Nothobranchius furzeri: one gene and its partner. The protein of the gene in region 2 purifies or fractionates together with the protein of the main gene of each other region. This does not show direct contact. Links are inferred from orthologs where the notes say so. Each region holds a gene or a part of one and is shown on either strand. Other genes may lie near its edges.

Evidence for each region. The genes of interacting proteins can lie anywhere in the genome.
Region 1: the proteins of med20 (region 2) and cdk8 purify together in Homo sapiens (affinity purification with mass spectrometry; 8 studies listed by BioGRID and IntAct, counting the BioPlex papers as one, with this or other methods). This does not show direct contact. The link is inferred for Nothobranchius furzeri from reciprocal best matches to the Homo sapiens genes MED20 and CDK8.

Annotation. Positions count from the first base shown.
Region 1 is NC_091747.1:51,004,831-51,012,611, reverse strand, and holds the start of cdk8 (cyclin-dependent kinase 8), read right to left. Parts: upstream 4,414-7,781; 5' UTR 4,212-4,413; coding exon 4,084-4,211; intron 1,115-4,083; coding exon 1,039-1,114; intron 1-1,038. Other genes in the region: E3 ubiquitin-protein ligase RNF6, read left to right, coding at 5,746-5,782, 6,808-6,963, 7,212-7,376, 7,526-7,781.
Region 2 is NC_091743.1:46,651,445-46,657,376, reverse strand, and holds med20 (mediator of RNA polymerase II transcription subunit 20), read right to left. Parts: upstream 4,653-5,932; 5' UTR 4,561-4,652; coding exon 4,547-4,560; intron 4,135-4,546; coding exon 3,989-4,134; intron 2,794-3,988; coding exon 2,540-2,793; intron 2,457-2,539; coding exon 2,235-2,456; 3' UTR 2,046-2,234; downstream 1-2,045. Other genes in the region: bysl (bystin), read left to right, coding at 4,921-5,194, 5,497-5,653, 5,769-5,907. UniProt on the Homo sapiens protein: Component of the Mediator complex, a coactivator involved in the regulated transcription of nearly all RNA polymerase II-dependent genes.

The DNA of each region.
Region 1 (7,781 bases), on a different chromosome or scaffold from region 2:
CTGACGCTACCCCAACGTCCGCATTTAAATCGGGTTATGCAAGTTAGAGGTAACTCTTTCTATTTATGCTTGTAAACGGGTTATTCTGATCAACTCAGAAACCCGAATCCCGACCTTAACCCGATCATAACCCGGATATTGGCTGTATGTAAACGTAGTCATTGACGGCTCTCGGTTGTGGGGTGGGTTCTACCGTTGTCTTTCAAATAATCTCCGCATTCCACTGGACAATGAATGTGACATACTCTTGTTTCACTCTGTTGCATCATCCCACCCACCAGGCATATAGAGTGCCCTGATTGGCCCATAAAGCGGATGAAGCTCTGTGATTTGTTCACTAAGCAGATAGAGCACTATGATTGGCCCACCATTATGGACCAATCACAGCTCTTTATGTGTTTGAAACCCCTCTAGAGAGCTGTGATTGGCTAGCCAGAGTCCTGGTAGGAGCTGCGGAGGTTCCAATGGAGCGTGCCTAGACCAAACTTTGCAAAGCAAGAATTTGGTCTAGTTCACTAGGCTAGGGGTCTCTATTAACACTAAAAATGTGAAAAGAAATCAGTTGCCTTTCAGTGTTTGGTTTTAGAAATTATGAGCTTAAAACAAGCCGTTTCAAACATTCCCAGTTTGTGATGTCACAGTTGGTAAAATTAGCACCGAACCACCTTTGGTGCAAGAGAGAGCTGCTGCTGGAGGATCAGCAGCTCTACTCCGAGCCCCTCCCTGATATCTGAGCTTCTCAGCCTATAGCAGCCTGACAGGGGGTGCATGGGCATGGCCAGCACCAGCTTGTTTTCTGAAAGGGCTCATTCTGGAAGGAATTGAAAAACTGCTTATATTACTTTACGTGAGAGGAATTTAGTACAAATAACTTCTTAAACGTGTTTTGCATCAAGAACTTTTATAACTTAAGTCGTCATGTGTCTCCTTTAGACTGCGGAACGATGGACAGGTTAATTTCAAACTAGCTCCCACACTTGGGAATGACACGATCTGCTCCTCGCAGACCAAACAAAAGAAAAAACAAGCAGCTCTTACTGCAATCTCTCGGCAGGCTGACATGGAGATGCCAGTGCCTTCAATCTGCTTGAGGGCGTAGTCCTTATCATCCTTCCTACAAACACAGAAAAAGAGGCAGAGCAACATCAACAACAGACAAGGCTGCAGGCCCCCAGAGAGCAGGCTGCACAGCAACAGAAGAAGGCATGGAAGAGGAGGAGGGGGCACTTGACAGCTGGCATGGGGACTCAGGAGAAAAAGTTGCATTACCTCCAGATTTGTGTAATCAAGCTCACCTCAGAGACTCTAAACAATAAGAAAGGGGAGAGAAAGCAGACGCTGTCTGGCAGCAGGTAAAGGACAGAGTACTGGGACTGGCTCGAGTCGCACTTGAATGCAACCACTACCTCACTCAAACTTCCCTAAATCATTTCATAAACCCCAGATTCCTCAGTCCAAAGGTGGCAGCATAACTTAGTTAATGGACTCTCATGAACAACACAAACATCTTTTAGGTGTGTGGCTCCAGCTGGTATGAAGTTCTAGGACTCAGATGGGCTTAAAGATATTGTATTAGAACGTTTTAGAAAGTAAGGCGATGCCAGCAACGTTTTAACAGCTGAACCCTGAAACCAAAAATGCCACTGTTGCATTTTCTCCTCGCTTTTGATTTCAGGCCACTTTTCCGTCACAAATTTTTAAAAGTCACAACATATTGGGGCAAATTTGTCATAAAACACAAAATACGGCATCAAATAAAAGAGCTTTAGCTTCTTCTGATATAAATATTCTATATGATCATTATCTTACCAGTTCTGGGAAAATTGATGGAGGGAGTGATGTTTAAACAGATTCAACATTATTTTAGGGTGAATGGCATTTACACTGATGTTCAACATGCTTACAGAGAAGGATTTTCTACCAGTACGGCACAGACTACTCTTACTGATGAATGGTTGGGACAGATTGATAGGAAGCTGCTGGTGGGAGCAGTGCTTCTGGATTTTAGTGCTGCATTTGATATTGAGGATCATGACATTTAACTTTTGAAACTATCAGCGTATGGTTTTAACAAGACTGCTATCAATTTTATGAGTAGCTACTTGACTAATAGAAAACAATGTGTTATATTTAATGGTAGTCGGTCAAACACTGGCACTCTTTTGTGTGGGATTCCCCAAGGAAGTTGCTTGGGTCCTTTATTATACAGTATATTTGTAAATGATATGACTTTTGCATGCAGTGAAGCGCACATGACTCTATATGCGGATGATACGACCATATCTGTTTCAGCTTCAAGTTTAGTTCAGGTCAATGTTATGCTTCAACAGGAGTTAAAGTCTATCTCTGAGCGGGTAGAGGGAAATAAGCTAAAATTGAATGTATTAAAAACCAAGTGTATGCTATTAGGCTCTAGGAATTTGGTAAGAAAAACCCACCAGTTAGACATTTATTTATGGGGACAACAAACTGAACAAGCAAAAGAGACCAAACTACTGGGCATAACATTGGATCAATCAATGTCATGGACTACACATATTGATAATATTGTAAAGAGAATGAGTAGGAGCATTTATGTAATTAGGAGCAATGCTCAGTATATGTTACTGGAGACCAGAAAACTTGTTGTACAGTCTCTGGTTTTGTCTCATCTGGATTACTGTTCAGTTGTTTGGTCCAGTGCAGCAAAGACAGACCTTGACAAGCTTCAGAGAGCTCAGAACAGAGCTGCGAGGTTGGTTCTTGGTTGCCCTTTTAAAACTAATATCCACTGGATGTATTTTAATCTGTCATGGATGAGTGTAAATGACAGACCGGCCTGCAGCCTGGTTGTGTCGTTACACAAAATCTGGGTTTTACATAAACCTTTCAGCTTGTTTACAAAGTTGTTACCAACCTGTGAGCGGCATGGTTTTAACACAAGGAATGCCTCTCATTTATCTTTACTCTTCCATTGCCAAGAACCAATGCACTTAAAGGAACAGTCATTTACAGAGCAGTCACATGCTGGAATATCCTGCCTCCTGAACTAATAACAATAAATGTTCATGATGCGTTTAAAGTGAATCTCAAGAAATTTGTAAAACATAAGCTTATATCAGACAACAGTTACAGCTATTTCAATCAGATTAATAGATTTTAGATTTATAGAATTAACACCCTGACACTTTATTGTTTTATTGATTCATTGATCCATTTTTAAATTGACTTTTTAGTGCTTTTTTATGATTTTGTTTTATGAGGTTGATTATAGGAGTTTGTGTTTTTCTTACATTGTATATGAAATATTGTACTTTTAATCCTACACTGTCTATGTGATATTGTATGCATTTTCTTTTTGTTTCTTTTATCAAGTGGACCCCAGGAAGAATAGTTTTCACTATTGTGAAGACTAATGGGGATCCTTAAATAAACAAATATGAAATATTCTGTTTAATCCAGCACACAAGCCAAAAAAACGTGATTTTTTTTACTTTGCAGTAAAAACATTCATTGAACAAAACAGCTTAATTTTATACGGCGTGTAACATTTCTATTATCTCAAAAACATATGGCTTCCCAATAATAATAATACAGTATCAAATAATTAAAATAAACATTAACAGCAGCAATAATGAGAGCTACTTAAACTGAAGTTAATAGCATATATATTTAACAGATTTGTTATAATTTAAATAATTAAAAATAATCTCACTTTATGTTCTGCTACTGAATCATTTTGTTTTTAATTTTCAAGTATATTTGATCATCACTTTTATTAGTATTTCCACAAATAAACATTGTTTTGGCGCAAATGTTAATTTCTGCAGGAGTTTTCTCACTTGCATATGATAAAATTAGATATATTCAAACTCCATCTAATGAATATTCATTTGTAAAAATATATAAAAGACCGACACCAAAAACAGTATAAATATGCGCTACAGTCGTGTTGCAGAAATAAAGACATCCCATAATAAAGAGAAGACGGTGCTAAAGCTACAGAACAGGGCCTTTGTGCCAGAAAACGTGAGGAAGCGGTTTAAATGTGTTAATCTGAGGGAGGGAGGCTGACTGCTGAAGGCCTGCTGCACTTCAACTCACCCATCTTTTCTCTTCGCCTTATACACATGACCGTAAGTGCCTCTTCCCACTTTGCATCCTTCGTACTCAAACAGGTCCTCGACACGCTCTCGTTCTCCAGTTAGCTTCACTTTAAAATCATAGTCCATTTTCACCTCGGTTTGGGTAAATGTCTAAGCGCCGTCCTTATTCTTCTTCTTCTTTTAAAGCGTCGCTTGGGAGGCAGCTGGGCTCCTCCACCGAGCTCGGGTTGGTATTTCAGATAGTTGCCTTACCCAGCGTGGCTCTTTCCTCTTTCAACCCAGCTTACGTGTCGAGTTTTCGGGTCAAATTGAATGTTCCGAAGAGGGGTACGCGACGCTTGGAGGTAGTCCTAGTGGAAACTAGCTCAATTGTTTATTTCTTTCTGTTGTTGCTGCGTTTCCCCCCAGCCGGTATCTGCTCCAAAGAGACGTACATAGTCGGCAACGACAGCACTGTCGTAAAACGTCGTAAAGACGGTCCTGCAGCGGAGAAAAGAGGATGGAAACATGGGATAAGCAGACCCAACCACGTTGAAATACGTGTCTAGAACCTCATCAGTAACGCATTTACATTGTGAAAACAGCGTTTTTTTATTTTAGTGTCGTGTTACAGACAGGAAACCACCAAAAAGCGTTTTTATTGGTTAAAAAAGCCCTTCAATTAGATTTTGTAAATAAGAAACAAAATATCCATCTTTTAAATTTTAAGCAAATAAGAAAATTGGGCCTATTTAATTCAGTAAGTTGTCAATACCCAATAATTGATGGAAGTGTTTGACAATTTATAACAAACCCCCATTTATGACATCTTCAAGGGTTTATCCATATAAGTAGCGGTGAGTTGAAGAGGTAAAAAGTAATTTGTTGGAGGACAATTTTGTGGAGGGACATCTGTGTCCCTTTTGGATTTCTCTTTATCATGGATTCACAATGACAGTGCAACACTTGTATTTGTCTTCAATAAAAGCTAATTTCTATCTCTGTTAACTAATCACTGTGAATTTATGTTTTAACAACAGAAACATAGATGAAAAGATGCCATTCATTTTAAAGAGGTGATTAGATAAAATGAGTACAGAAGTTGGTCATAGTTAGTAGGAAAATTGCATTATCGGGAACTGGAAACAATAGAATTCTTACTATGAACTCATTTTACAATGCATTTGAATTTGCATTTGGCTCACAGTTTGGATCTTCTTTTATTTATTTGTTTGTTTATTTCTAGGATTTACTAACAAAAACTGTTTTAAAGGCTCTTTACTTTATCCAGAACTGTCAGCATTCTTTGACTAGCTCATTCATACATCGTCTCTTATCTTTTTGTGTGGAGAGAATAGCCGTGATAGTAAATAAATAGTGACAAATTAGCTACTCTTCTTAGATTTACGTTGATTAATGAAGATCATCTAGAAATTACACCCACTGGTGTTTCATGACCTACTCTTGGATCGTGATCTCAGTCATTTTTAGGAGGACCTGCTTATAACAAATGTTAAAGTAAAATGTACACAATTTCATTTTAAATACAGCATAAATTAATTATTTTTGATAATGTTGATCTGCCTTTCAAACTGGTTAAAAAACCAATAAACATCTCTTTGGACAGTATTGTTTTGTAGGAACTAAGAAAATGCGGTGCTTGTTTCAGACGGACGGTTTAATGCTTGTACCGCTGGTCCCATCTTGGGTTGTGAGAGGTGAGAGCTGAGCCAACCGTCCATATTATAACTGCCTTGTCAGGTATCTAAATCTTATAAATTTTAATGTCACGTCTCACGAGAGTATGATTTCTTTAACTTGTGTGTTTCGTGTGTGTTAACTGATCGATAAAATAATTCCCCATGGTAATGTGTTTCTTTTTTTTCTCGGAGCTAACACTGGGCATCGACTGATTGCTGGCTGTGCTAACATGTTCAGTTAACACTCGGAAGCGTTGCGCATTGAATTTTACGCTTCGCAGTTTATGAAGGGTCCACAAATCGTGCTCGTGCGTTTGTGCGACAACACATAATTTCACTGTTGATGGCATACATCTGAATCATTCTGCTGTTTGATTATGCGGACAGGATTCTTTGTCTTTGCTTCGATGCTCTGCGTCTACATGGAGGAAGCCTCCGTTAGCCTCGCTTGGCCCGCCTTTGCCGAACAGCGATTGGACGCCGGGCGTGACCGTCACCGAGGCTAGACCGCTGATTGGTCGCTGACCATGATGACAGCGGCACTTTTGTTGCTTTACATTAGCCGTGGCCTTCGCTCGATATAAATCCACTTGTTTAAAATTAGCTTTCATGAAGACTACATCGGTATTATTTGTCTTATTAGCTGTCTTGTACTCTTGTTATTTTTTTCCACATGACAAAATAGTTTAACTTCTGACGCTAACACACAAGCTAAATGTTAGCTAGATTATTGCAGTAGCTCTTGTAGAAAATGGTTGACGTTGGTTTTCCTCTCGGCCTTTTAAAAGACTGATCAGGTTTGAATTTGCATTTCTTGTTGAGCTGCAACGCACCACAGCATATTGAGTGCGTATATACCTCAAACTCAAATGTTATTTACTCATCTTTCGACTTAAGAATGGAGCTGTTATCAGTTTTGACTGCATTCTCTTGTTTATATGCATCCATAACAAATTTTCACTTAGGTAAAGCTGCTGTGGGTAGCTTTGCGTGTCACTGTCACTTTCCATCATCAGCTGATGATTTGCTCATCTGCTTCCCAGCACTCTCCATGGTGATGGACCCTCCTGGTGGGGGAGATGAACGCCAGAGGCAGGCAGAGCGTCTTCGACGGGAGGAGGCATACTATCACTTCATAAATGAACTGAGTGAGGAAGAGTACCGTCTCATGAGAGACAGCAACCTGCTGGGCACCCCAGGTGAGGAGTCACCCACTAGTTTAGGTCCAGGCCAAACTGTCACTTTACATGAGTCTTTACTTGATGTTGCAGCCCCAAAGGTTTTCTGTGAATGTGAAAAATGTATCTAGTACTTCCAAACCAGAATTAAAAAAAAAAAATAATAATAATTTTAATTATGTTTTTCTGTCTTTGGAGCATCTAAGCACAGAGGTGTTTCTCTGGTGCTCATGTCTCAAAACACCCTCAATGTGCAAAATATTTTACAGGGGAGGTTACTGCAGAGGAGCTGCGACAGCGTCTGGATGGAGCAAAAGAGCGTGTGTTGTCTCAGCCCGGCACTGAGCAACGCTCACAGACTGCTGACGCTGGAGAACAACAGAGCAGTAGCAGCGGGGGAGAGGAGAGAGGTGCTGGAGGAAGAGGAGGGGCAGGTATGATGTTCTTGTGTTTATCTGACTTTTCTGGTTCCATGGTTAGGATTAAACAAACCAGACAATAGCATTCACCAGGAATTTTGGGACTTAAGATAACTGCAAATGTTTTCTTACTAAGTTCTAACTTTTTAAAAACATTTTGACAGGGAACACAGAACCTGGAGCAGAACCTTCTAATGGCGATTCATTACTGGAGTGGCTCAACACTTTCAGACGTACTGGTAATGCCACCCGGAGTGGACAGAGCGGCAACCAGACATGGCGGGCTGTTAGCCGGACCAACCCCAACAGTGGGGAATTTCGTTTTAGCTTAGAGATCAACATAAACCACGATCAACCTGAGCCTGGAGAGCATAATGACGGTGTGAACACCGCAGATACTGCAGAGCTGACTCCTTCAAA
Region 2 (5,932 bases):
ATAGAACTCATGATATGCTACATTTGCATTTGCATCTAACAAAACAAAACAATTATCTATAGTAGCTAGGTCATGTTGTATATGGTAAAGGTCGTCTGTATATTTGTAAAAAAAAAAAAAAAGTAAAAAAAAAGACATTTAGTTATTGTGAGAAAAGCATTTCAGTATTTGCCAAAACAATTTCTTAAATATTGCAAAGTATTAAATTATTGTAAATACTAGTAATTGTTTAAAAAGAAAACTAGATATTTTGCCACATAGACAATAAATGCATAGGAGTATTATAAGTGAAAAATTGTTACACATCTTTAATATTTGTAAAATATAGAACAATGAAAAACTAAATATTTAATTTTAAAATAACTACGTTTATGAGAGATTTATCTCTTTAATAAGATTTGTACTACCCTGAGCCCGGCGCGGTTCCATCGGCCCGGCCCCCAGCAGCGCCGAGGGGTGCTGCTGAGCCAAGCAGGCCCAACAACATTCATCGTGTCGCGATGAGCACGGGACCAGAGGACGACGGTTGCAGATGAGTGGAAGAGATGCCAGGAGGAAGAGCGGGTGGACGAGGTAAAGAAATGGCCACAGAAGACCTGGAGGAGGTCAAAAGTAACATCACAGCAGGATCGATTAATGAGACTGATGGAGGAGGTGAAGGAGCTTAAAATACTGCTAACTGAAGATAAGAAGATTTCGGCCTAAGAGCAAAGAGTTGATGAACTTGAACAATATACTAGACGAGAGGATTTGGTGATAATGGTGGAAACCCGACACAGAAGCTACGCAAAAGCAGTAGAAGATCACGACGCAGCAGGAGAGGCGTCAGACAAAGAGCCCGAGACACTAGAGCAGCAAGCGGTTACTTTTCTGCACAGCAAGAACATAACTACTCAAAGAGATACTATCATCAGAACTACTCAAAGAGATACTATCATCAGAAACCTGCAGTGAACACGTCTGTTTTCCTCTAGTGGAAGACCTGTGTATTACAGGCGACAGGTAATAATAATTATACAGTTATATTTAATTACATAAATAATGTAATCACTAAGTCATTTAGTTATATAGTCCAGTAAACTGTTCATTTTATAACGTGTGTGTATTTTAATTTAATGCGTCAGACATGTGAAGGGTTAAACTGTTCTAACTTCAAATATGGAAACATTTCAACTTAGTTTTTACATCTTCTCCCCACATGTATTTCATGTACATTTTTAACTTTGGTCTTTATTTTGAATTAAGTCTCATTAGATGACTTTTCTTTACATTCCTAAATAATGTTATTGATAAGAAGCATCTCACTCTTGAATGTGAATTAAGTGATTTGTTGAAGTGCATGTGGGAGTTCTTGTTTTGTGTTCTAATCAAACCTTCAGGTCTTTGGGTTAGGGACCGGTGAACATCCAGGGAACAGACATTGAGGTAGTGGACTCTTATAATGACCTGGGTGTTCACCTGAACAGCAAACTGAGGCCATAACACAGATATTCTTCAGTAAGGGCCAGAGCACACTACCCGCTGATGCCACTGAGGTCCATTGGAGTGCAGGGGGTGCTCCTACAGACCTTGACTAAATGGTGGCATCAGCCATCTTTGATGGTGTGGTTTGTTAGGTCAGCAGCATAGCTACTGCTGAAAGACAGAGACTAGATAAGCTTATTGACACTACATCTGCCCTAGGATTTCTCCTTGATCTAGTGCAGGAGGTGGGATACAGGACTGGCTAAATTAGCATCACTTTTACACAATGTCTTCCACCCCATGCATGAAGCTGGGGAACTCCTACAGCGGCAGAATGCTGCATCCATTGGTGCACGGAGAGTAATCCCAGGTCCCTATTTACACATTTCTCCTTTCATGCCATCACTCCTCATTATAAACTTCGTCTATCTGCACAGATTTTTTTTATTCGATTGAATGTTTTAAGAATTTCTTGCATATGTTACAGGATTTTGTTCTTCTTTGCTCCTGATGTGAATGATTGCTGCTGTGACACCAACATTTCCCCACCGAGTGTAAGGAATTTTTACTTCTTGCAGAAATAGGTAGATTTTTGTCTTTATTTTTGTCTGTGTTGAGCATTTGCATCTATAGATTGTAGCTGTATTCCTTTTAACTGTATCAGGGTAAACAAATACAAAACTGAAGTTACAAAAATAGAACTATACAAATCATACGGTTTCCATAGGACCACATTTAACACACATCAATACAATCATTAAAAAATGTTATTAGTGCACATTGCTTCCTGTGATTTGTAACTTCCGTAGCTTGTTGAACAACTCCAGGTACTGAGTCATGGTGTCGACAGAGTCTGCTGGTGCAAAAAGACCCTCAGGCTTGGCAGCAAATACAGTGGGAAGCTCAGGAACATTGTTGCCAAGAAAAGACAGCATGAACTCCTTCATGAGGTTCCAGCAGTCCCCTGGAACCACACAGGGACAGTACTCCACCTGAGGAAAACACATCAAGGGTTAATCCTGTCAAAAAAGAGAACAATGGGCCTCTGGTCTAACTGATAATACCAAACTGTCACCTCCACTGATATCCCTCGAACACTGGAACTCATTGTGACCGTGCCAACTTTAATCAAGAAGTCACAGTAGCGATATCTCGAACCGCGACACTCCACCTTGTGTCCCTTGGCATTCTGGAAATGGGTCTTCAGCTTCACCATGAGGACGTCAAAGTTTGTGTCCGCTACCAAACAGGGTCCTCCTTCAAACAGAGCCAAGCAGCTCAGGGGAAATTCAGAGTTGTGCATTACATAAAGGAGCTTGGAGGGCTGACCTGTAACAAACCCAGACTTAAAGTGAGAAATTGCATGAAGAACAGCAAAATGTAACAATGCAATTTTTGCATAATGACTTTGCATGATTTTTTTATTTTTGGACACAGATTAGAGCAGCATGCTTATTAAGTTTAAAATTACACAAGTAAGTAGTAGAATCATACCATGTCCTGTTTATATAAATGTTGCTTATGAGGGATGCGAGAGCAGACACCTTTTTTTCTGGAGGACACTTGAGCTAAATTAGATCATGATTTACTGCTCTGCTAATGGACTCATTGGTGGAAACCTGGAAAAAAAAGACTAGTAGTAACTTAGAAAGATAAATGCCAAATCAAACGTTTATAGACCCCGGGTTGCGGATGTTTATAAAACATAAAAATAAAAACTATTTTTCAAGGAGCTTAATGTAAATGGCCTGTGTTTGTATAGCACCTTCACAGGGTTCTACATCCCCCCAAAGCACTTCACAACACAGTCACTCACACACACACATTCACACGCTGGTGGGAATGAGCTATGATGTCACTACAGATGCCCTGAGGCGCACTGACAAAGGCGAGGCTGCTGAGCACTGGTGCCATCGGCCCCTCTGACAACCACCAGCAGGCAAGGCAGGTTAAGTGTCTTGCCCAAGGACACAACAGCAGAATTCTTTGGTCTGAGCCGGGATCGAACCTGCAACCTTCTGGACAACCCGCTCTACCTCCTGAGCTACTGCTGTCCCATTTAAACAAATTTAAGCGGATTCTTGCAGTGGATGGGGCTTTTTAAATGTTCCTGACTTCTGGGGAAAGATACAGTGGAAACGTGGCTCATTTAACCTTGCATAACATAGTAATGAAGATTTACAGAAAACCTTTCTAAAACACACCAACTGTATTTTAATCTGGCTATTTTTACCCAATGGATGACTGTTTTTGTTAACCTTACAGAGAAATAAGATCAGTAAAAATGAAAATTACATAGCTTGACAATATATTTGTCACAAGGCACACATATCCTGGACAATTGAGTTTAAGTCAAATATTTGACATAATTATTAGAACATTTTCAAAAAGCAGAATTTAATCAAAGAAATATGACAAATTCCCCTGCAGCAAGTTGTATTAATAGCAATGCAGAAGACTATCCATCTAAAGCACCTAAACAACAGGAATGATAATATTTATATGGTTAATAGCTGAAAATTACCGCCAGCGTTTACTGTTGATTGATATGTTTCACAGTCTACACAGAAGTTGCCCTGCTTCACAGCTCCAAGCTGCTCCAGCTTCTTATGCAGAATGTCCACTGTCTGTTGGACACTCTTCCCCTCCGCCACGGGCACCTGGCAAACACTGCACAGCACAAGAACAACACAACACCGTGAAGCAACCTGTTCAAAATTGATCATGTGCAATAACATTTGAATGTCCTATTTCTGTTTACTCAATATGCTAAAATTCTGCTTACTGAACCCAACTAATATATATATTACTGTTCATTTTACATTTATATTATTTCTGTATTATTTTTTGTATAGTTTTCCATTTTGCACTAAAGAGAGTGGCACTCTAATTTCGCTGTACACCGTACAACGACAATAAACACTATTCTATTCAGTGTAAAACGGTTTGGAAGCAAATAAAGGCTACATTCACCGAGTTAGCTACACATGCCAAACGAAATCATATGCACAGCGTGATAAAATATATTACAAAAATATTATTACAGTTAGCATTTAACTACAACATAAGTAAATCTGCTTACCAAGTAACACCCATTGATTTCTCGCCTGCAAAAAACACTCGTGAAGCAATTACTTCCGGATTAACATTTACACTTCCGGTGCACGTAAACGACCTTGTTTCAGAAAATTAAAAAACAAACTCAAGAAACTTTATAATCATATTGCATAAATGTATGTTACATACAAACATATAAAATCAACATCATATAAAATGGTATGTTATATATATGTTTTTCAGTGCACAGACGTTACGTATATCGTCACTTCCGCCGTACGGTAATCTGCACGTGTAGAATACAGACTGTTTACAGAATTCTTTCTCCGCGTTGTTTGTGTCTCTAATGGTAAAACAAAACACGGACAGCGTCGTCGCAGCTTGAGTCACTCTTGAAAGATGCCGAAAGTGAAAAGAGCTAAAGGTGGCGGTGGAGGAGAGAAGAGTGGCGGAGGAGGAGCGGTGCCACTGGCCGACCAGATCCTCCAGGCGGACACGATCCGAGCCCGAGGCCGGGTGAAGAATCGAGACGCCCGGGTCGAAAGTGAGGACACCTACGTGGATGAACGTCTGTCAAGGAAAATCTTACAACAGGCCCGGATTCAACAAGAGGAGTTGCAGACCGAGTATGGCCTGGCACCTGAGCAGAGGAAAGCACCAGTCACTGTTCTCGGTATGATGGAGGGTTTCGGACCTTAAATTGGCAGTATTTTTTTTAATTAAGTCTGGTTTATCAAGCGTAGAAACCACGAAAGTGTTTTTGTAATTAGTTATACGGTGTTACTTATGCAACATCCCTTTATTTCTCTGCAAAAATAAAACTAATGACGAATGTTTTTTATGTGGACAAAATGTCAGACGATCACAGAGAAAAATAGTTCCCAGCGTGATCTTCTCAGAACTATTTAGGTGAAATAAGTCTTTGCTGAATGCATGAATAATATTTTCTAATGTTGTCTGACCTGTTTATTTTAGGCCCTGAGTCCCAGGATGCTGACTCAGATGAAGATTGGCCAGTTCTGGGAGAAGCAGGTGCTGGGGATGGTGATGTGGAGGGTGATACTGAAGTCATCGTTGATTCTGATGATGAGAAGGCCATTGAGATGTTCATGAATAAAAACCCTCCAATGAGGCAAGATTTCTCACAACTTTGTTTGAATTCTAGCTGTTGGAATTTGCTAAAGTCCACTTTGAGGTTAAGTTTATGTTCGTATACTCAGCTGTTTTCCTCTTTGTGACCATCACAGGCGGACCTTAGCTGATATTATCATGGAGAAGATCACAGAGAAGCAAACCGAGGTGGGAACAGTGATGTCTGAGGTATCAGGGGTTCCAATGCCCCAGCTGGACCCTAGGGTGACCGAGGTCTACCGGGGTGTCGGTAAGGTAAGTTATACAGTTGTTTGTGTTA